2 linked regions of the Tribolium castaneum genome follow. The protein of the gene in region 2 interacts with the protein of the main gene of each other region in a pairwise test. Links are inferred from orthologs where the notes say so. Each region holds a gene or a part of one and is shown on either strand. Other genes may lie near its edges. The genes, in order: ADP-ribosylation factor-like protein 2-binding protein and ADP-ribosylation factor-like protein 3.

Region 1 (9,855 bases), on a different chromosome or scaffold from region 2:
TTAATAATAATTAGTAAATAATTTGCATTACTTGAGTCCTAATTTTTAAAAAGAGACTAAGAATTCAATGCAAATACTGATTTGTATTTAAGATACATTTCTTCTTTAGCCTTAAATTATTTGTCGTGTATGTAATTGATTATCCGGAAAATGGACATCTTGGAAAGCCATATTAAAGTAAAAAAGAAGAATAAAACACAAAGAAAATTATCTTATTTGTTACAAAATTGAAATATTTTGCAGTGACATTACTGCTTTATGTAGAAAACTAACAATTACTAACATATTTTGCTAACTTTTTTTAAGTCAATAACATTAGTGCTGTCTTAATTTGAATACACACTGTAGGGTATTCCCAGTTTTACACAGTACGTGAAAAAATCACAGACATACACTTCATTTAGCGGTCAACAGAAAAAATTAAATATTTTTTTTGTCAAAATATTTAAAACTAATGTCTACACTTTTCTAATTTCGATTTTGTAAACAGTTGTTTAGTTTGTTACTTACTTAACACATCTTATTACTTTGGAATAAGAAGGAAATAATTAAAATACACTCACCTTTTGACAAAATCAGTATGTGTGCTTTTAAATTTCCTTTATTTCTCCCCGTAGATACATTCCTTTGGCACACATTAACTACTCGAATGTTTAAAAACCGCGCACTAATAAATGCCTGTTTTAAGCACCCGAAAATTCGCAATATGCATTAAAGATAGTTTTATATTTTGAAAATCATAATTAGAAATATGTTGATTTTTATTTAATTTTAATAAAGTTATTCGGCGTCCGTTCACAACAAGAAGTAACAAACTGAATAAAATTATGCAGCACACCAATGTGTAAATATCGATAGATCAACAAAAAATATTGTAATCTGTTTACGTATTAATTATTGTTTTTTCTGTTACATTACTTTGTTGGGGACCTAAAATATACAGGGATCAGAGAGATTTTAGTTAAAACCGCCATCCTGTCGTCCTTGGTTTCCTACTTGCGAAATATATTTTTTTTTTTTTTTAAATTACGAAAGTTGTAAGGCACTTTTTTGCGTAGAATTTAACAACGTAGTCACCGATTTTGTTGTGCTTACAACTAGGGTGTGTGATTATTTGCGAAAATGTCTTTCAGGTGCGTTCTTCGAGCAACCCTCACTTGAATGAAGATGCGACAACTTGGGTGTCTAATTTAACCTCCTCCCAAAACGGAACGGATACCGCTCTGACGAATCACATCAGCGGTGTGCCCGAAAGCGTAAAAAATGAGGAGATAAAATCAGTTCTTAGTCCTGTGAAACCTGTCAATTTGTTACCACAAGTTCCAATCAACAGCAGTTCGTTCAGAAAGCTTTCTGAGAATGAGGAACACGACTGTGAAATTATTGGTATTTATTTATTTGTTTTTTTTTCAGTGTTAGGGATTCTATCTAATATTTTGCAGAACGCTTGATTAAATCGTATTTCTACATCGTTCGTAAATCAATTCAGGATACAGTCCCGAAGGCGGTAATGCATTTCTTAGTGAATTTTGTTAAAGACAATTTGCAATCCGAGTTAGTGACACATTTGTATAAAGCTGACAATGCTGATCAGTTGTTGGACGAGTCTGAGCACATTGCTCAGAGACGCAAAGAAGCCGCAGATATGTTAAAAGTGAGTTGCTCCAGCTTTGTAAGACTGGTTTGCTGTAACAATTATGTTTCAGGCACTTCAAAAAGCTGCACACATCATTAGCGAAATTAGAGAAACACACATGTGGTAAACTTGCAGCCATATTCTCCCTAGTCAAGAGTAAGCGTGTACTGGCCCTCGATGTTAAAGCTGTATTTAATCTTTACTTAAAAGGATAAGAGTAACACTGAACGATTTCGGAATGTCTTGTTCAAAAACTTCATAAAGCGAAAACGGATATTTGTTGAAGTTTTATAAAAATTTAATTACCTTCCTGTAAATAATTGTACAATTTTTATCAATTCTGACATCTTTGTAAAGTTCATCGATTCTCATTTTGGTCTGATATTAGACTTGTTACTCTCTTTTTAGTTGGTGCATTACTGTAGAAATCACTTTTTGATGTTACACGCGCCATAGTTGTATTTCCTCGTATTTCAATATTTTTGATGCATTTTTGTTCTAGCCTAGTTGCGCATCAATAAATTATTGATTTGGTACAAATTTTCTTAAACCCGACAGTCAGCAGTAACAAAATGTATTTAAACAAAAATCAACAATCATGTAATAGTGGATTAACATAAATAGGCTATTCGAGTATTATAAGAGAAAGCAAAAGATAATAAACAAGCTATCAAATTGTAGCAGGAGAGCTTCTCCCGTCGCAGTTATTCTCAATCACAGTGGTTTGAAGAGTGTCCATTTCTTCATCAGAATCAACACAAATCGTCGGATCGGAATCGGGGTTCTCGAACAAGTTTTCAATCGGTTTCAACTTAGATTTCTGGTTGATAACAGCGTCGCCTTTCGCATTATTGTCCCCGCTTATAAATTCCATTTGCAGTTGTGGAATTCTGGAAATTAAAATTAAAATTGCACCAACTGTGAGAAATATCTTACATGTTTAACGTATCAAAATCGCCAACTTTTTGATGACTATCATCAATATTATTCTCAGTTTCGACGCAAATCCCGTATTCTTTGCAATTCTGAATTGCCACTTTTGTCGCTTTCACGCAACAGTTATCGTAGATTTTCAGACCTAAATTGCAGTTGTGAATTTCGGTGCTCTCCATGGTTACGTTGGACCCCGAATTGCCGACAATTGCGGTACTAAAGTGACTAATTTCGCAGTTTATTGTTTGCAAATTCGCTCCATTCAATATGAGGATTCCCTGATGAGTTGATGATTTTCCATCCCCATATATTCGACAGTTGATTAAGGTAAGTTGGCCCCCGCGGACGATTATTCCACACTGAGGGGACGACGCGTCAATGGTCATATTTTCAATAACGACGTTCCCGCCTCTAAAATCCAGCATCACGTCCTCTGTTTTGGAGCTTAATATTGTGTTTTCTGTCGCGGAGACTCCTTTTAACAGCCCCCCATGTTCCAGTGCCCCAGTGACTGTGATCATGTGTTTGCCTTCTTTCACAATGAATACATCATTTGGATTGGCATAATCTAAAGTTGAGGATAACTGTGGCGAAAACCTTACAATCTCAGTTGGGTACGAGGCTTTAATTTTTTGTAAGAACTCAATGCTGTCATCTAGCGTATTTTCGGCTTGAATCACCCAAATGTTCTGTTTGGTGTCATCGTGAGCTGGAACCATCTCTTTCTGTTTCTTGATGACAACCTTCCTGAGCATTGGGTTCTCTAAAATGTCCATTTCTCCTTTAATTTCCATCAGACGAATGTGGAGCTCCGACAACTGTTCAACCGTGGGGTCGTTGACAGCAGCATTATCCCCATCACAGCTCTCCAAATCGTCAAGTTCAGACTCCAGTTGCTCCCTTTTCTGCTCCAGTCTCTTGGCTTCACTCATCAGGGAGTGCAAGCGCTCGGCGGTGACCCGTGGTATCACCCCGTTTTTCAGGTCATAGTACAGCCTCAAGCGGGGCTCCAGATGCTTGCTTTTCCAGTCACCCTCATCATCCTCTTCGAAATCCCACGGCATGACCAAATTGTGATAGAAAAACCGCAGCATGTCCAGCACGTTCGCAGTGGAGTGCAAGTTAATGGCAACGCTCTTATCTTGCGCTTTCGTGGGCCACAGCTGGATCAGGGGCACCCAGTGCTTCTCAGGAATGTGGATGTCGTCCTGGACAGCCAAGACCTTGACCAGCGCTGTCATCTCCTTGAAACTCACGTCCAGGACGAAAACCAGCACCACCGTCGGAAAGGCGATATTGAGGGCCTCGCAGGTTTTGCGCTGGATTTTCCAAACCGCCTGCCACCCGTTCGGATCCAGGGTTAAGTCCAGGTAGAAGCCCCACTCGTTAGCGATGGCAGAGGCCGGCAGAACTTCATAGCCCCCAAGCACCTCATTGTATTCTTGCAAACGCTGTTGCAGGCTTTTATCAAACGTTATCACCTGGTCCATTTTACTCAACGCTTGAAATTTTTTCACGTTTTAACTTTTAACGGCTACAAATTTTAAATTTGTGTCACTGCTCTGGTGACAAACCAAACAATCCCTAGCAAAAACGTGGTGGGGTTCGAGTCACTATGGTAACCATGTAAACAACAATGTAAAAAAATGTCAAATTATTTGTGATCAATTCCATGTTGTGTTGAGTTGAACGTCCTTAAAAATACAAAAGGCCCAAAAAATGGCACAGGAGCAATGTTGGTCGTTTCATTTTGTGGATGCTGGGAATAATTTGATTGCTTTAGGTTTGTTTGAGGGTTCGGATGATTTGGATATTTCACATCATTGTCAAGACGTTGAGGAAAAGTACTTTGCCCAGGTTGTGGGGCACATTGAAGACATTCTCCTTGATGATAGCTTTCTCAAAATACATAAAGATTTCATGGAAGAATACTGGACGGAATTTGAGGAAAGTGACGAAAATAAACTCGTTTACACCGACATATTTAAAAAGTACGTGGAAACGATAGAGAAGTTTTTAGAAACTGAATTGAAAAAGAAGATTCCAAATTTCAGTATGTTGGAGTTCGAGTACGAGTTAAGGTAAAACACACTGGACAGTTTTGGCATTAGTGGGATATTTTGTAATATTCCAGAAAACGACCCAATGAACTTGTAGGGGAGGTTTTTGAAATTTTATCAACTTTCACAGACTTTGTTTCCTTTAAAGAAAAATTTTTAGATTACAAAGCGGTGTGTTCACATTGTCTTCACTTAAAACCCTCTTAAATGTCTTAATTTCAGATGAAGGAAGGCAAGACGGTAGATTTTTCTAAGGATCTTTACGTAATACAGTATAAATTAGAAACTTTGTAACTTTATTGAACGAAATGTTTAATATAAAAAACCTTAATGCATTAATATTTCCATTTGAACCAATTTACTATTTGTGTCTCCTGGCATTCTGTAAGGCAACATTCCAGTGAAATTAATCAAGATTTTTGCCTGTTCCCTTAAATGTGACAATTGCTGAAATACAATAAAAACAATCATAAGTTATTTGAATAGTTATTGGCTTACTTTCTCAATGGTGTTGTCGTTAAACCTGCTTGGAATATATTCATTTCCTTTAATCTTCTGATAATCAGCAAACAACATATTCATTGTAGCCAAAAGCACATCAGGAATCACTTTGCAGACGTCAACGTTCAGTTTTTTGAACGCCTTTACACGTTCTTCCACCTCTTGTGGTTGACGAGGGATTATTTGAAGGTCGCTCAGAGTCTACAGTTACAAAAAAATAGAAAAAACATCACAAAAAACATTCAATTGTTACTTTTAATGCCAACGAAAACTGTTTGGAATGATACTGATCGAAAAATACTGCAAGTTGTTTCAGTTTAATGTAGGATGTAACAATATTGGATGACGCTTTGTAGCCTTCTCTCGTGTATCTGTCGCTCAAAATATTTCCCTTCTCCAACAATCTCTCCTTCAGAGAGTTTGGTTGAGAAGGCAAATGAACCACTTGTGACAGCAAAGTGCAAAATAAATTCAAAACCTCCTCTTGATTCTGTAAAAAAATATTAACACGATATTTGTTTATTAAAGTATCACTCACATCAGCCAAATCAAACACATCTATTGCTTCCTCGAATAATCCCTTCTTTACCAAAGAATCGCCAATCATTTGAGCAATGTTTTCCGCACTGATTTCAGCGTTAGTAAACTGGTCGATCAGCCCTTTGGTTCTTATATCATTGGGCTGAATGACCCCCAAAATCTTGTTGTACTCCTTGGTTTCAATAGCCAGATCACACACACAAATCTTGAACAAATTCACTCCATCCTCATTGGTAAAATTGCGCAAGATATAAAAGTAGTGCAACGCCTCATTAGGACAAGTTATTTCAAATTTGCGAACATAAATCATAATTAAACGCGCCAGGTTCAAGCGGCGACTTGGTTTCACATCCATTGGGTCAATACTAACTAATAAAAATCATAAGTAAACAAACAATCGCAAAAACTTTTACATACTAAGTGGTGCTGAACTGTCCCGTGAGCCAGCCAATAAGTACAACTCGTTCAAGGCAATGGCCATATGGACAGCATGAACTCGGTACCTCTCAATTCGGGGCAAAAATTCAATAGCGGCCTCAAATTGACCGGTTAATGCGAGCACTTGGAAATATAAGTGGGGTTGGTTCATGGCGTCATAATGAGCTTCACCATACTCTTCCAAAATCATCCGCTAAGGAATAGTGTATTACGTAATGTGGGAAACACATACGAGCGTTAACAACTAAATGTTACGTAAAAATTGAAAACAAATAACTTTTTCTTGAAAGTATTGGACATAGTAATGCAAATAACAATAATTGTTGCATACAATAACTAATAAACGTGTTGGGTAAAGTAAATAGTGTACACACCTGCAGGTCGTTGTACTTAATGTGGTCGTCCTTTTCGTAATCAGCTCTCACTAAGCTCAATTTCAACCATAAATAATCGTCCGCGGTTCTGGCGACTTCCGAATGCTCATCAACGACATCGCAACAGCCAAGCACCGCACAGACGATACGCTTAAAAGGGTCAGTTTCGTTACGTACATGTCTGCGATAATTGTAGCGCACATTATCCTCCAGTTTGTAAATATCTGGACTGTCAGGATTATTGAGTTTTGCTTCCAAAATAGCAACAATGTCTTGAAACTCTTTTTCGTTTTTCTTCTTTAGACAATAAATTGCTGCTGCTAAATCTCCGCTCCTTATACAGTAGTAGACCATGGGCCATAAAGGCCTTCCATCGATTTTGTCATCTTTCAAGCCCGAATATTCGCCTTGGAGGCGAACACCGACGTAACTGCGGACTAAGGGATAAGTTCCGGGAACTCCCCCAAGCATCGCAGTTGATAGGTTTTCGTTAATGATGTTACTCATATACGTCTTATATCTAGAATTATTTACCTAATTGTGGTCTTTTTTCATTGAATTAGAAAAATAAATTACCGATCTTCCAGATATTTCTTGCCTTGTTTCACCAAAGCGTTTATGAAAGGGGCAGAATTTCGAGTTTTAATCTGATCCTCTGACTGAGGAAACGGCGGCAACTGAGTCATGTATTTCATTATTTCCCACATGTCTTTAACTTTCTGAAATTTTTAAGCTTAAGAACGACTGTATGTTGTCATTAAAATTTTGTCTGATATCAAAATGAGGCAAAAACTTACGGCGTCTCTCAAGTCATTTGCCACGCTGATGAAGCTGTTTATGAGACTTGGCTTCTGAATGCTCCTGCCAATTGCTTGATTGTATTCCATAATCTTGGCGGCATAGAGAGTCTCTGCCACTCCTAAGTTGGGGGTAATAGAAATAGGCCTCTCCATAAAAACGGATGAATATTTTCCAATTTCTATGAAAGCCCCAGATGGTCCCAGCATCGAATTTAGGATTTTTCGTTTTTCTTGTTTCCATTCGCCAGTTTGGTGTTCCCAAGAGCAGTCGGAAATTGTTTTCATGCACTACAATATGTAATTATGCGTATGTACACTTTGGGAACCACGTATGGATTACTTTATTGAAACCGTTTTCAAATACACTCAAAATGCAGTTTTGGATTTCATTTTCAAGAATTCCGACTGCATTTACGTCCTCAACCGGCTCAATGGATTCGAATGTGCGCTTGGTACTAATTGATTCCAATTTTTGTATTATTTTTGGCAAGTCTACGCCTTTTGATCCTAACAATAAATTCCTGAAATTTGTTACGTCCACGTTATATTTAATTCTGTTAACAGTGAATAAGTCAAAGACATACGCTTGAATGTCCTTTGCTCCAGTTTGAGCCACTTTTGAATATAAATCGTTAGAAGCTTCCAAGACCTGCCGAATAGATCTATCAACTTTTGGCAGTTCTTTACTCCCTTCAATGTCAACAGTGATTTTTTCAGCCTCCTGGAGGAGGTCGGCAAAGTCGCCCATGTTGATATTTCTAAAAATGTTGGAAAAAATAATCAAAAACAAGAAACTAAAAGTTGGGTTAGGACAACAATATAACCTTCAAAAATACATAAAATTGATGTATTTCATAACAAGAAGCAATTTATCGGCAAAAACCTACTTGAATTGATGTTCAAACACACAATTTAAAACGTATTTTCGTGAACTTTTGTAATTCTTGTAAAAAATGCCGCTACAAACATGCAACGGTTAAAAACGATGCTGCTTATGTAACCCAAAATACACTTTTTCAGCTAGTTTCAGCACATATAGGCAACCCAAAATTTACGATTTCAGTTTCAGTGATTCTGATTGCCGACGCACTGAAACTGAACAAATCCCCAAGTTCGTTTTGTTTTTCAGTTTTCGGAATCATATCTTCTAATGTATATTTCTTAGTTTTGTTTTCGTATAATACAACTAAATTTTTATCGATTTATTGTAACATAAACCGTAAACATAAAATAGAGCGTCGATGTCGTGCTGGAAATCACTTTGAAAGCTGTTCCAGCTTTATCGATAATTCGTCCAGATAGCAAGGTAATGCGTGGGTGAAGCTTCACCTGACGCTTTTTCCAGTTGCGAGTTCGTTCTTTCTATTATTAACGCCGTACTCTGATGAAACAGACGTCGCGAAATTGAAATGTTTTGTTAATAGAATGGCTTAACATCCTTAAAACGTGTATTCTTTCTTTATCGATTATTTATTAAGTAACATTTATAAATAGCAGAATAGACTTGTATTGTGCTGTAAAGTTTTTTAACGATGGTGCGCACCTGTTATGCAATTAAATGGGGATGTAGACCTTTCATTAAGAATCACCAACCGGCATTTCAGTGTAAAAGGGTTGTGAAAAGAAGCTGCACTTCTACGGATTTTTCAGCATTAGGTAAATGCCACTGACCATAACTATTCAATATTTTAAATTAAGTTAACATATTGGTGTGTTCTATCAATATTTTATTATTATCGAGTCAGTTTTATGCCACTGTGGGATTTATTCGTTTTTTCAATCACCTAATCAACAGTTAGCATCCAGTGCAGGTATGCCTAATATTATTCGTAATAAGAGAAATGTGTTAAAGAAATACTTCTCAAATAATTTTGCTTTGTTTAACACAATGCCATTTTTTAAAGGTGGATAGTGTCTTAAAATTGTTCTTAAATTTATAATAAACATTGAATGTGCTCTCTGAATTGATTTAATGTACATCAGCAGACATTTAGAATATAATTACATAACTGCTTAAAACTAACATGTACGATGCTAATGTTAATTGAAAGTAAATACTACCACATATCATATCAGTTATTAAGTTTTAATTCCATTATAAGTCCGGGCCTGAAAGCATGCTTCAGGATGTATCTATAGCAACGCAGACTAGAATCGCCACTGCTGAAAGATCAGTACACTGTAAGCGCAGACATTTCAGCATCTACCGCGATCCTGAAAAGAACGGCAAGAGCTTTTTCGGTTATCGCGCACATCGTAATAAATAATTTTATTACTGCACAAGAATGACAATGATTTTATTTCTGAGAAGTGATAAAATAAACTCACAGTTAAACATTTTAAAGCAGTCCTGTTGACAGTGGTAGTGCATGATGGTTAGATTTAATAGAAAGGATCTGCCCGAAAAAGAAAAATTATTGAAAGGAATGGCAGATTTTGATGACGATATTGCAAGTATTAGGCCGATTACTAAGGGTGAGTTATCTGTTTTTGAGCAGGTACACTTACGAAAAGTAAATTCATGACATCGAAGAGCTTTCATTCAGTACTTACTGCACGTGTTATTGGAGTGT
Region 2 (11,375 bases):
GGAGTCGTCACTTCTGGTACCACCTTGTTGGAACATGTTGAAGAGCATTGAGAGCATGGATGGGTCGAGGCCTTTACTCTGACCCAAGACTGAGCCCAGACCTTGGAGGATTTCACCGGCGTTTTCGCCGGAAGCGGCGTTAGTCAGGATATCGCCGAGTTGTTTGGCACCGTCCGATTGCATCAAGTTGTTGATCATTCCGCCGATGTTTTGCAGGTTTTGCTCTTTGAGGATCTCGGCTTTAGCTTCGGCGAAGGGATTGATATCATCGTCGATTTGATTGTTGGCGAGGTCCTGGAGAGAGGGACTTGTGATAACTAGGATGACTAGAAGGAAATTGATGGTAGCCATTGGTACTAATCTGAAATAAACGTACCATAAAGTCACGTTTTACAACTCGTGTGCTTTATCTCAAATTGCTCAAACATGTCCTATTGTGTGAACCCCCAGTGGGAGTTTGATAAAACAATCAAATGGTACGTGATGGTACCCAAATTTTGAGGATGGTGTCGGTGACGCACGAATAATCCCGCAAAAGTTACAGTTAGGTCACCCGAAATCAAGAGGTGCCTGCTCGGGATAGTAGCCTTGAACTTACCTCAAGAGTAAACAAATCGAGTTAATTGAAAGTCCCTGAGAGACACTTACCTTGTAAAAGTGCTCGCGTTAGTAATTACTTTTTTAAATGTTGGGCCATTCACATGTCACACATCGCGGCTGCAATCAAACCACAAGTGACAGAACTCGATGGTACTTTCCGGCCTGACGTAGATGATTTTGTAACTGTACTTACGGTACCTCGAAACGGTTCTGGTTTCGATTCAACACTGACTACCTGCCACTCGTAATACACCTTTTAAGATTGTTGAGTAGGTCGTATGCTTACCTGGAACATTCCGAGTGGTCCGAAACAATTATGTGGTCTGGGCACTGATAACGGGTATCTGCAAATCCACCAATTTTGAAGAGATAGTACTATCTATAGCACTTTAAAAACGAAAAAATCTCAAGTGTCGTTTATCAAAACTGTGATTACAGCAATAAAAAAGACCCGCTATACTTCTTCAACAAAAATGTAAACAATAATTTGTTAATAAATAGTTGAAATCTGATAACACAGATAACATACTGTAATTGTATTTTTTGTTTTAGTTAATACAATTAGCTACACATTCATTTTTTTAATATGCTTCATGAATAATTTATTACCATAATACAGTGTTGCATATAAATCCTTCATTAGAAGTAATATTTATCTCAAAATTGGTAATGAGCTGTAATATATTAGGTTTTGTACAGTGAAAATAGTTTCAAGATGGCGGCACTTCCGGTTATACCGGAAGTCGGTAACTATTTGGAAAGCTATGTTTTTTACAGTATTTTTGGATTACAGGATTTATTCTAAGAAAGTTTTCGTAAGCTTTTCTTATACTTAAATTTAGCTATTTGAAAATAAATAAGGTTTTTTTAAAGACAATACTTACATCTTCCCTAAATTGTCTGCAAAATTGGAAAAAAGTTAACAGACTTCAAAATTACCTTAAGGTTGAGTTTAGAGAAATTTAATAAAAGAATTTTTCCAAATGTAAACAATTCGGCAAGTTTTGTTCACAATTTAGGTTTGAATAGCTTTGACTTTTTTTTATTTTTCTCTTGTTTCCAAGGCAACAGATGGAAAAAGAGCTATGGCTAATGAATTTCTCAATGTTAACAGAAAGTTGATATAACTTGAAAAGAATTAATATTACTATTAGTAAGTAAAAGAAAGTGTTGAGGAACGTATTAAATAATAATGCAATACAGGGACGCTAAAAAGTATGGATGCAGCTAAATATTTTCGGAACTCTTTAACAAAACACGTTGAAATTTGGGAAATAGTAAAATTTTATCATCTTAGATCTTTTTCAGTTTTCTACCATAATTGATTTTCAAATTACGAAGCTGACTTGATTTTTTTTAAATGGAACGAAGGACCAAAGTTAATGATTTGTAAAAAAACCATTTTTTTCTGGATTCAGTGATGTAGCATATAGCCTCCTTTATTTTTATTAAAAGTTAAAACATATAAAAATTTAATTCTAAATATCTGAAAAAGTAGAGCTAAGTTAGCTTTGAAAATACTGTTATTAGCGATTGAAGACCTACAAGAATGAATAAGAAACGAAATCGCCACTATTTCTCCAAATATTGTAATTGATTCTTTGCAAAATTTAATTCGACGTATTCATTATTGTTAAGAGGTCAATAGCAATTATTTTGAAATTTTTTTGTCGCATAATAAACATGTAATTCGTGTTTAAACTTTTTTATTAAAATGTGTTCTATTTCCGTTAAAAGTGTTATTTTAACAATTATTATTATTACATATGAACTTTTACTTATTTCTTGCTCAAAGTTCAAGCGGCAAAGAGTTAACGATAGGTATACATATTTCTAAGTCTAACAAAATTATACACTTTTCAAAATTTTATAAGATTATTCTTTAAGTTAATTAATAATTATTTAAATTAAGTTAATTAAAATAAAGTATGCAATTGTTACAACATAGAACTCAAAAAAATGTTCTTTTAAAAATACATATGAAATTAAAAAAAAATCAAGTTAGCTTTGTACCCTCAGAACAAACAGTGATAGAAAAAAATTGGGACATTATAAGTATTTAATATGAAGAAACGAAACTAAGTGATGACTGTTTGGATAGATTTCTGTAAACTTAATGTAAAAAAAGTGGGGATTTTGAACCTTTCTTAGAAATTTGAGATTATTTAAGGAAAGATGTACATGAGCTTTTTTTATTAAATCTCCAAAAACGAATTATTTTTTTAATGGCATAGTTTTTTGAGTTTTCTAATTTTTAATGTGGAAGGTGCAAATCCAACAAACGGCAAAATTTAGATAGATATAGTGAAGGCTGATGAAAACTTCCTTACTTCAGTAACCCAAAAACGTTTTTCCCTTTTAAAATAGGTTAATACCGACTTCCGGTATAAAACCGGAAAAGCTGAGATATTGAAAATATTTTTATCGAGAACTTCCGGTACTCCTATAGGGGTATTATAATGGAACACTCTGTATATTTATTTAAGGGGCCACAAATTTATTTGAAAAAAATTATATCTGGGTTTCGACAATTTCAAATTTCCCGGGTTTCTGCCCTTCAACCCTCCATCTTTAATCAAAAGAAAATCGCGCGTTTGCAAATTTTAGTGCAGAATTTTGAGTGAAAAACTCCGATGTTGTCCAATATTCGGCAAAAACTAAACGTGAAGTGCCTTGTAACACCGTTTAGCAATAGTGAGAGTGAAGGTTATACAGTGTGTTTGAAAAAAAGCGTAAATTTGTGGTCACGAAAGTCGAGCGCCGTTCACCGGTGAGTCACATACTTATTCTAGAACTCTTGTATTTGAATATTTTGAGTCGTTTTTGGATTGATTTCCCGTTTTTTTAATGTTTGCGGAATTTAAAGCAGGACCACCTTTGTCCGAAATGTGCGCGCCAAATTCAAATCTCTCTCCTTCTCATTGCGAAAAGATTGCGTCCCGTTATATCGCACGCATCTGGTAATGTGCATGATTATGAGTGATTATAGTGTAACTAAAAAGGCCAATGACCTTCGATTTGAATAGCCTTGGGGGGATCTGGAGGAAAAACCGGTCACTTTTTAAAAAATCTTTATTAAAAACAATTGCAAAGCTGATGATAAAACCGCACTCGAATTAGCTGAAACAATAGTTTTCCCACTCTTCTAAGTCAACAATAGCGTGTAGTGGGTTGAATGGACGGAATCTGCGTTTGATTTATTTCTTTTTGATGCTTTTGCACACCCATTCCATGCCCTCTCTGACACCGTCGCCTCGGACGGCCGTACAGGCCTGGATTTGCCAGGGTCGGTCTTTAATACTCGGCAAACCCAAAGCCTGGGCCAAATCCGCGGCGGTGAGAGCTTCAGGAAGATCTTGTTTGTTGGCGTAGACTAACAAAGGCACGTCTTGGAGTTTATCGTCGGTCAGAAGCTCGTATAATTCGATTCCGGTCTCTTCCAAACGTTTCTTATCAGACGAATCCACAACATAAATCTAGAACAAGCCAAACTAGAAACAGCCGTTTTTGGGGGCGAGAAAATTACCAAAACGTCGGTATTTTCGAAATAGTTTTTCCAGTAAGGGCGGATCTTGCGCTGTCCCCCTATATCCCAAACGTTCAGTTTGAAACCTTCAGATATGACCGACTTTATGTTAAAACCGGCTGTGGGTGTTATGTGATTAATGTCTTCAGATGCCAGGGTCTTGAGGATGGTCGTTTTGCCCGCATTGTCCAAGCCCAGGAGAAGCAAACGCAATTCGCGCTCAGGGGCGGCGCGAAGCTTCCGCAAAAGCGACAAAAGACCCTAAAAGTTAATTATTAATTGATTTTTATCCAATCTACAATGATATAAGGTATGAAAACTATGAAACCGTATAAAATTAAAGTGACGATATTGGTCAATAAAAAATAAATCCCCTTGCCCCTGAGCAGCAATTAGTAGGCAGCACACATTACACAGCTGTGTAAACTGAGCAGGTATTTTGGCGTCGTAGCCTGTTCTTGTTACCACGTTAAATGTTAAATAAAAATATAAAACGGTCAGATCACATTATTAACGGTTATATGTAATAGAACAAAATTCATACAGAGTGTTTCACATAATTTTATGAGCCCGCGCCTGTAAATTGCCACCAACAATACAGATTCGGAAACGAACTCGGATTACAAATTTTGAAAAATTGTATAGTCATACCTTCAAACATTACAACGTTTTAAGTTAGTTAAGGATTAAAATAAATAGATTAGAATCATGTCAATTTTGTCTCTTGATAGAACACAATTATTATTTCTGTAAACCTACAATTAATGAATATTAATAAAATAGTGATTAGTTTTACAACTACTGTATTTTATTGATCTAGTGTTTTGTGACTTTTATATACGGAGTGTCCGTTTTTCGAGCTCCTCCATGAGAATCTCAATTATTTTAAATTTTTGAATAATTATTCCGATAGAACGAAAATTTGTAAGTTTTGTTTTTAGTTTTTCAAGCGAAAATCAAAAGAACTATACGTTTTTAACTAGGACGCATTTTTTTACAAGGAATCTAAATGTATCATCGTATTTTCCAAGGCGTTGTTGATATCAGAGTTACAACGCTCAACTCTGGTTTTTCTTATTGAAACCATACACATTCGCTTTATGTATTTTTGAAAAATGTTTTTATTCCTGATTACAACGATGTATCACATGATTTGGTCAAATCTTATATGCTGACCAAAATGGAGAAAAAAGCATTTTTGCGAAGAGTGCTTTGGAAAAAACGTCAACAATGTTGTTTTTAAACAAACTAGATTTTAAAAATTATTATTAAAAAAATAAAAAAAAATATTTATTAGTATTAAGTTTTCAATAAACTATTAAAAAAACAGTTACCTTTTTTATGAAATTTTTTTTATTTCATAAATCTGGGGTTAAATTACAATTAATTTACTTTACTAGTTTGTATAACACAACTTTTAGGAATGTAGTCCTAGTTACGAATAGCAGTCGTTATTACGACAGTTAAAAAGGTCGTCTGGAAAAACGTACGCTCCGGAACTTAAAGGCATTGGTAACATAAAAAACAACTTTGTTTTAAATGATATTGAAAACGCTAATTACAATAGTGGAAACCGTTTCTCTGTATCTGCTCTCTAAATCAAGTTATTTAAAGTTGAAATTATGACGTCATAGCCGCCTATCGAACATTTGGTTCAATATTATAATCAAATGGTTTTTGACTTTAAGTGACACTGATAAAATTTATCAAGAAGTTGAAAACAAAATGTAGAACAGAAAAAGGAGTTATTTTTTTATTTTTTGGTCACTTAGAGGGTTCAGTAATAAAAGGATTCTATGAGAGGCGGTTGTGACGTCACGTTTTTTTTTTTCGATTATCTCGCTTATTTTATTTTTCATCGCAGGAAGTTTTAAATGAACGAAATGGCAATTTTGACAATATTTTGGACGAAACAAATCATAATTTCGATTTTGAAATTCTTTTGAATTGAAACTCTCGTTAGGAATGTCGTCATTTATATTGCGATGTAAAGTATAAAAGTGTTTTAACTGTTCCAAATGCTGTGCGGAATTAGAACAAGATTTACAAGAGTTGTGGTGCATTATAAATAGAAAAGATAGAGTTGGGTTGATAAAATCGTCAGGAGTCGTTAAAATATGTTTCGACTATAGAAAGTTGTTGAAAATGTTTTATTATAATAAATAATAACATTAATAAGTAATAGGATTATTGTTTTTATCACTCCTATTGATAAATTTGTTTTTGCGCCTGCAGTTTATGCACCAAACTACACTCGCGTGTATATTTGGCTGCCTAGCCGATTGTATACAAAGTGCCGTAACCATGGTGATTGTTTGACAAGTGTGTCATTTACAATAAGAAATTTATTGTAAAACGCCTTTAATTAGTATTTAAACCGTAGTTTTATTATTTATTATTAAAATCCTCACCATTTGGGACCTCCTCCAGCCGAAGTCAAGTCAAAAAAGCAAGGAAATAGCTGCGAAAAGGGTCAAAGTTGTGAGACAACACCAAACACAAAACTGTCAACGTAAATAACTTAAACAAATCGATACCATGAAAGTGTATTACAATGGGTTCAACCTCCATCGCCAGTTCCCCAGCCCACAAGACTTGGTAGTAAATTTTATCGATCACGTGTACCGGGACTTGGAAAATATCGAGGTTAGCTACCACTTCGCTGTATTGTTGGTTGCGAACGTTGTGGCGTTTCGAGGCGCGAAAAATGAAACAATTCCCGTGGAAGGGAAAATTCGACAAATTTCATGCAACGAAGACAAAGTTTTGGTGCTTTTGACTAATGGAGACTTGTTAAAAATAACGGAATCTGTGATAAAAGTGCCAAAATTGATGGGTTTGGATGACGATGACACCGTTGTTCAAATTTCGACTGGATCCAAGCTTTGTGTAGCTTTAACGAAAAAGGGACTCTTGTACAATGTGCCAAATAAGTTAGAATTTGTAAGCGGGGATATAATTGAGGTGAAAACGGGCCGCGAACATTGCTTACTTTTAGACAAAAGCGGAAATGTTTTTAGCTTTGGTAGGGGAAGGTGGGTGCTAGTGGCCAATTGGGACGGAAGTAATCTTATGTTTTTAGTCGCGGACAACTTGGGCATGGATGTCTGGATGATGAATCCGAACCTAAGTTTATAGAAGCGTTAGGTGGTGTGAAAATTGAGGCTATTGAGGCAGGAGGCTGGCATTCGTGTGCTTTGAGTAAAGAGGGGGATTTATACGTTTGGGGGTGGAACGGAAGTGGACAGTTGGGTTTAGGGGGAAGTGATGATGGGGTGTCCATTATGGCAACGCCTCAAGTCTTAGATTTTGATTTTAATATTAAAAATGTTGGCTGTGGTAATAAACATACAGTTGTTTTGACAGGTGATTGGTTAGTGCTTTAGTTTGATTGGATGTGACGTTTGGTGGTTTCAGATGAGGGAAAATTGTTTGGCTGTGGTTGGAATAAATACAAACAGTTGAAGAACGACGAAAATGAGGTTTTTCGTGAGTTGATTTTCCTGTGGGATTTTTCAAAGGAAGTTGTGAAGTGTCTAAAGTGTGGTCCTTGGAATACGCTGGTGTTGTGTACAGGGTGACTCGGATAAGAAGGGCGGGATGAAATAAAACAACCATGAACATTTTAATGTAGTCCACAGTATAATAAATACTGGTATACTTCAGAATTACATTATAAATATACAATGTGTATGGTATTTTTTTGTATTTTTGTGGTTTTTAAAATATTTTCTGAAAATAACAATTTCCCACAAAGCAATTGTTCAAACATCTAACTTTAATAAAACATGATTTACAAGTCACAGATATTTACGAACAAGAACACGTTGTATTTTAGGAAAAAAGCTAGAAAACTTAAAAAAATATAATAATAAAAAAGTGAAAAAACGATTTGCAACAACAAACAAAACGGACCGTCTAGCCTTTTTCCTTTACATGTGAAAATACAACAAATTGATATAATATAATATTCACGCTAAAAGGCATTTATAGTCACAATTTTATAATATGAGTACTTTTTTTAAAAAATCGTTTCGTCGACAACGAGACCGTTTCGAATCCGGAAAGGGCCTAATCGTCAAAAATTTTAATCTAACATATTGTCAAAACATGGAATCATTTCATTTTACAAAAATTCAACAAATTTTTCGTAATAATAAAAAACATCCCTAATTAATAATCCGCACCACTTTTTAAGCATAGCAATAAGAATAAAAAGTTTCTCGAGACAAAAAATATCTTTCTTTGATATAATTTTTGATATTTTGGATATGAATCAGTACTTTTGGTCCCAGTGTGTGCAACGGAGATTAATTTCGTATTCATGGCATATTTCAAAATTATCCAAGGTTAAATTTTGATTTTTTTCAGTCTTCATCAATACTACCGATCACATTTTTATAAAACTTTTTTCTACCAATTTTAAGCACATTTTCGACTAGACAAACAAAGAAACGAGTATAGAAGACACTTTTTGGTGTTGGTTTTAGAGCCAATCGTTAACCTTGTGTGGTGGTGTAGAGTGTGGTTTTGAATATGCCATCTTTTTGTGAAAATAAATAAATAAACGACCTGTTTGAACCTGTTCTATCTGATTTTGCTACCACATTGATGAAGAGCATGGGCCCTACATTTAAACTACTACTTTTACATTACGTACTAAGTAAAATCTTAAACTACGTTAGTTAAGTGCCATCACCTGGTTATTAGTGTCTCATTTACAAAAACTCTATATAGTGTGGGGGTATTTAAACCTAACCTCTTGTACTTGTAAACTGTCAACAAAGACGCGTAAGAACTACCATCTATTTAAGTATACACTCTGTATATTCAATTAATCTAAGGTGTTTTACAGGGGAGTCTGTGAACAAATTGTATCTTAGCGCATGAACCAGTCGCGACACACTCTATGTCGGCAGAAATGTTTTTTACTTGAAGAATTTACGCCAATTTACGTATACAGCGGTGCTCTGATAATGAAAAACGACGCACCCATATTGCAACATAAATAACAAACACAACATTATACATAAAAATATCATTTCATTACTTTTTCTTTACGTAAAATCCGCTCTTCATCAATGTGATTAAATGTGGGTAAATTGTGTACTATTGTTGTATTATGGTTGTTCCAATTAACACAAAAATTGCTCAGAGGTTTCAATTGTAATAAAAATGTTCTCAGTTTAATCTGCAGGCACACAAACATTCAAGTGCGCTGAAACAGTACTATATACACGGTTGTAAAGCAAAAAACTTAAGTAATATTTCCACTACACTACACAACTAAAAATTAATTAACAAATACGTTGATATAAAAAAATCATTAAAATTATGTGTTTATTGTAAAAAAATAATTAGGAATAACATAGAAACTATTAGAAGTCTTATAGTTGTGAAAAAGCTATAGTGTGGAATGATAAATCTAACATCTATTTCAATTAATTAAAAAAGACCTTGGTCCGTTATTGTTTTTCTTGTTTATTTTATCATAAACGAAATACTGACACGTTTGGTGCAAAAAAGATAAAAAACGAAAAGTACGTCCATTTTAATAAAGTTTAACATGCAAACAAGTTAAATAATAAAAACAGGAAAAATTACGTAATAATAATCGATTATCAAAACGAACTGTCGAATAGTCAAATGTACCGTTTCAGATAATCTGTAAAGTCCCGGATCACACTGGCAAAACACGAAACACGCTGAGAAAAGGCGGCGCCAAGAGGGCGCTGCTAAATCCGTCAAGGTTTCCCGCTTTGCGTGATGTGCCGCTCAATAAAACAACAATAAATAATGATAAAAAATGACAACAACTTTATTCTTTTGATTATATAGTGCTTTTGAAGCCTGTAAGAGATTTACGTACTAAAAATATCGTGTATTCAACGCGTATACTTTAAGGTTTATGTTTTTGGACCGCACATTTGGAAAAAAGCGAACGTAGTCAAAGAAAGTGTCTTTATCGTAACAAATTATCACATAAGAAATGCAAGAAATGCTATATAAATTGCACAAAAATCGGTGGCACACTTGCTGAATATTGTTTTGTATATGAAAAATTTTCCTTCTACTATAATCGCGCGGAATTACGGAATTTTGATACACTACAATCAAGCCGAAGAGTATTTTTGGTAGGAGCCGAGTCGGTGGGTGAAAAGCGCCCTCGGCCCCGCCCCAAACTGTAATTGGCAAGCGCAAAAGTGAAACACACAAACATTTAAAATTACAGTGTTTTTGAACCTTAGGACTACGAGAACTGGGAAGCTCACAGCTTCTTCGAAAACAAAAAATGCATTCCGAGATGATCAAAGGGCCCGAGGCCGAGATCACAATCTGTTTTTAAACATTTAAATTGTTCAATTTTCGCGAATAAAAAATCTGGCACATATATGGTTGGAATGTTTGGTTTTGGCGGCTAGGTCGAGTCTCGGGCGCCACCTTCGGGGAGTGGAGACGCGCTCTGGGCGCCAAACGATATGTAAAGCATACCACATTATATACAACTGCATTGGTCCAACTTAAATATGTGTGTACTGTAGAAATCTGTTTGGTTTGAGGAATCGGACGCGCCGATTCGGTTAACTGTCGGTATCGGTTTGGTTAGTGGTTGGTTGTATGTCTGACGGTTGTTGAAGAAGGGGGGAATGAAGCGTTTAAACTCTACCTTGAGTCAATCTTTTATCTCTCGAACAAAATAGCTTCCTTTGAAATATATAATATACTTTTTATATATTCTTATAGACTACTTAATATTGATGTAAATATATATTATGTATATACCATCTAATTGCACTTCATTGTCATATGAATTAAACGAAAGTCGGTTCGGTTAACTGAATGCGGGTCGACTCAGTTCGCCAACCGATCACTACTCCCTAATTGTTTAATTTTTTAATTATTTATAATATTTTAAGATATTTTTAGAGAAAATATACATCAAAAATTTTGAATAAATCACAGATAGATATAATTTTTTTTCAATTCTGGGACAATCCCATGGGTTTTTCGATATTATATAATATATATGAACCGTCCTCATCAAAGCAGCTGAATGCATGAACATCATGAACTTTATACAAGTTTGAGGTATAATACGCCACGTCGAAGACACATAGAGAGTACACCGATGATACGATTTTTTTTGGTACATGCCAAAAACACCGAACATGAACAATAAACATGTATCATGAAACGAGCGAGTATCACCCCATCCTGCAAAAAATTCAACATTTATCACATGGTGGTG

What was found.
Region 1: the proteins of ADP-ribosylation factor-like protein 3 (region 2) and ADP-ribosylation factor-like protein 2-binding protein interact in binary tests that used the Homo sapiens proteins (3 or more experiments, as listed by UniProt). The link is inferred for Tribolium castaneum from reciprocal best matches to the Homo sapiens genes ARL3 and ARL2BP.

The regions. Positions count from the first base shown.
Region 1 is NC_087398.1:8,838,266-8,848,120, reverse strand, and holds ADP-ribosylation factor-like protein 2-binding protein, read left to right. Parts: upstream 1-4,167; 5' UTR 4,168-4,288; coding exon 4,289-4,304; intron 4,305-4,352; coding exon 4,353-4,650; intron 4,651-4,703; coding exon 4,704-4,800; intron 4,801-4,851; coding exon 4,852-4,923; 3' UTR 4,924-4,956; downstream 4,957-9,855. Other genes in the region: Drp1 (dynamin-1-like protein), read left to right, coding at 1,134-1,386, 1,443-1,654, 1,707-1,763; nesd (protein nessun dorma), read right to left, coding at 2,307-2,526, 2,573-4,059; nuclear pore complex protein Nup93, read right to left, coding at 4,957-5,076, 5,128-5,331, 5,384-5,620, 5,669-6,039, 6,088-6,301, 6,483-7,002, 7,059-7,201, 7,280-7,570 and 2 more; vari (protein PALS2), read left to right, coding at 8,815-8,938. UniProt on the Homo sapiens protein: Together with ARL2, plays a role in the nuclear translocation, retention and transcriptional activity of STAT3. May play a role as an effector of ARL2.
Region 2 is NC_087395.1:18,691,518-18,702,892, reverse strand, and holds ADP-ribosylation factor-like protein 3, read right to left. Parts: upstream 6,665-11,375; 5' UTR 6,541-6,664; coding exon 6,538-6,540; intron 4,388-6,537; coding exon 4,127-4,387; intron 4,077-4,126; coding exon 3,798-4,076; 3' UTR 3,658-3,797; downstream 1-3,657. Other genes in the region: uncharacterized protein LOC655224, read right to left, coding at 1-351; RCC1 domain-containing protein 1, read left to right, coding at 6,665-7,161, 7,209-7,492, 7,544-7,707. UniProt on the Homo sapiens protein: Small GTP-binding protein which cycles between an inactive GDP-bound and an active GTP-bound form, and the rate of cycling is regulated by guanine nucleotide exchange factors (GEF) and GTPase-activating proteins (GAP).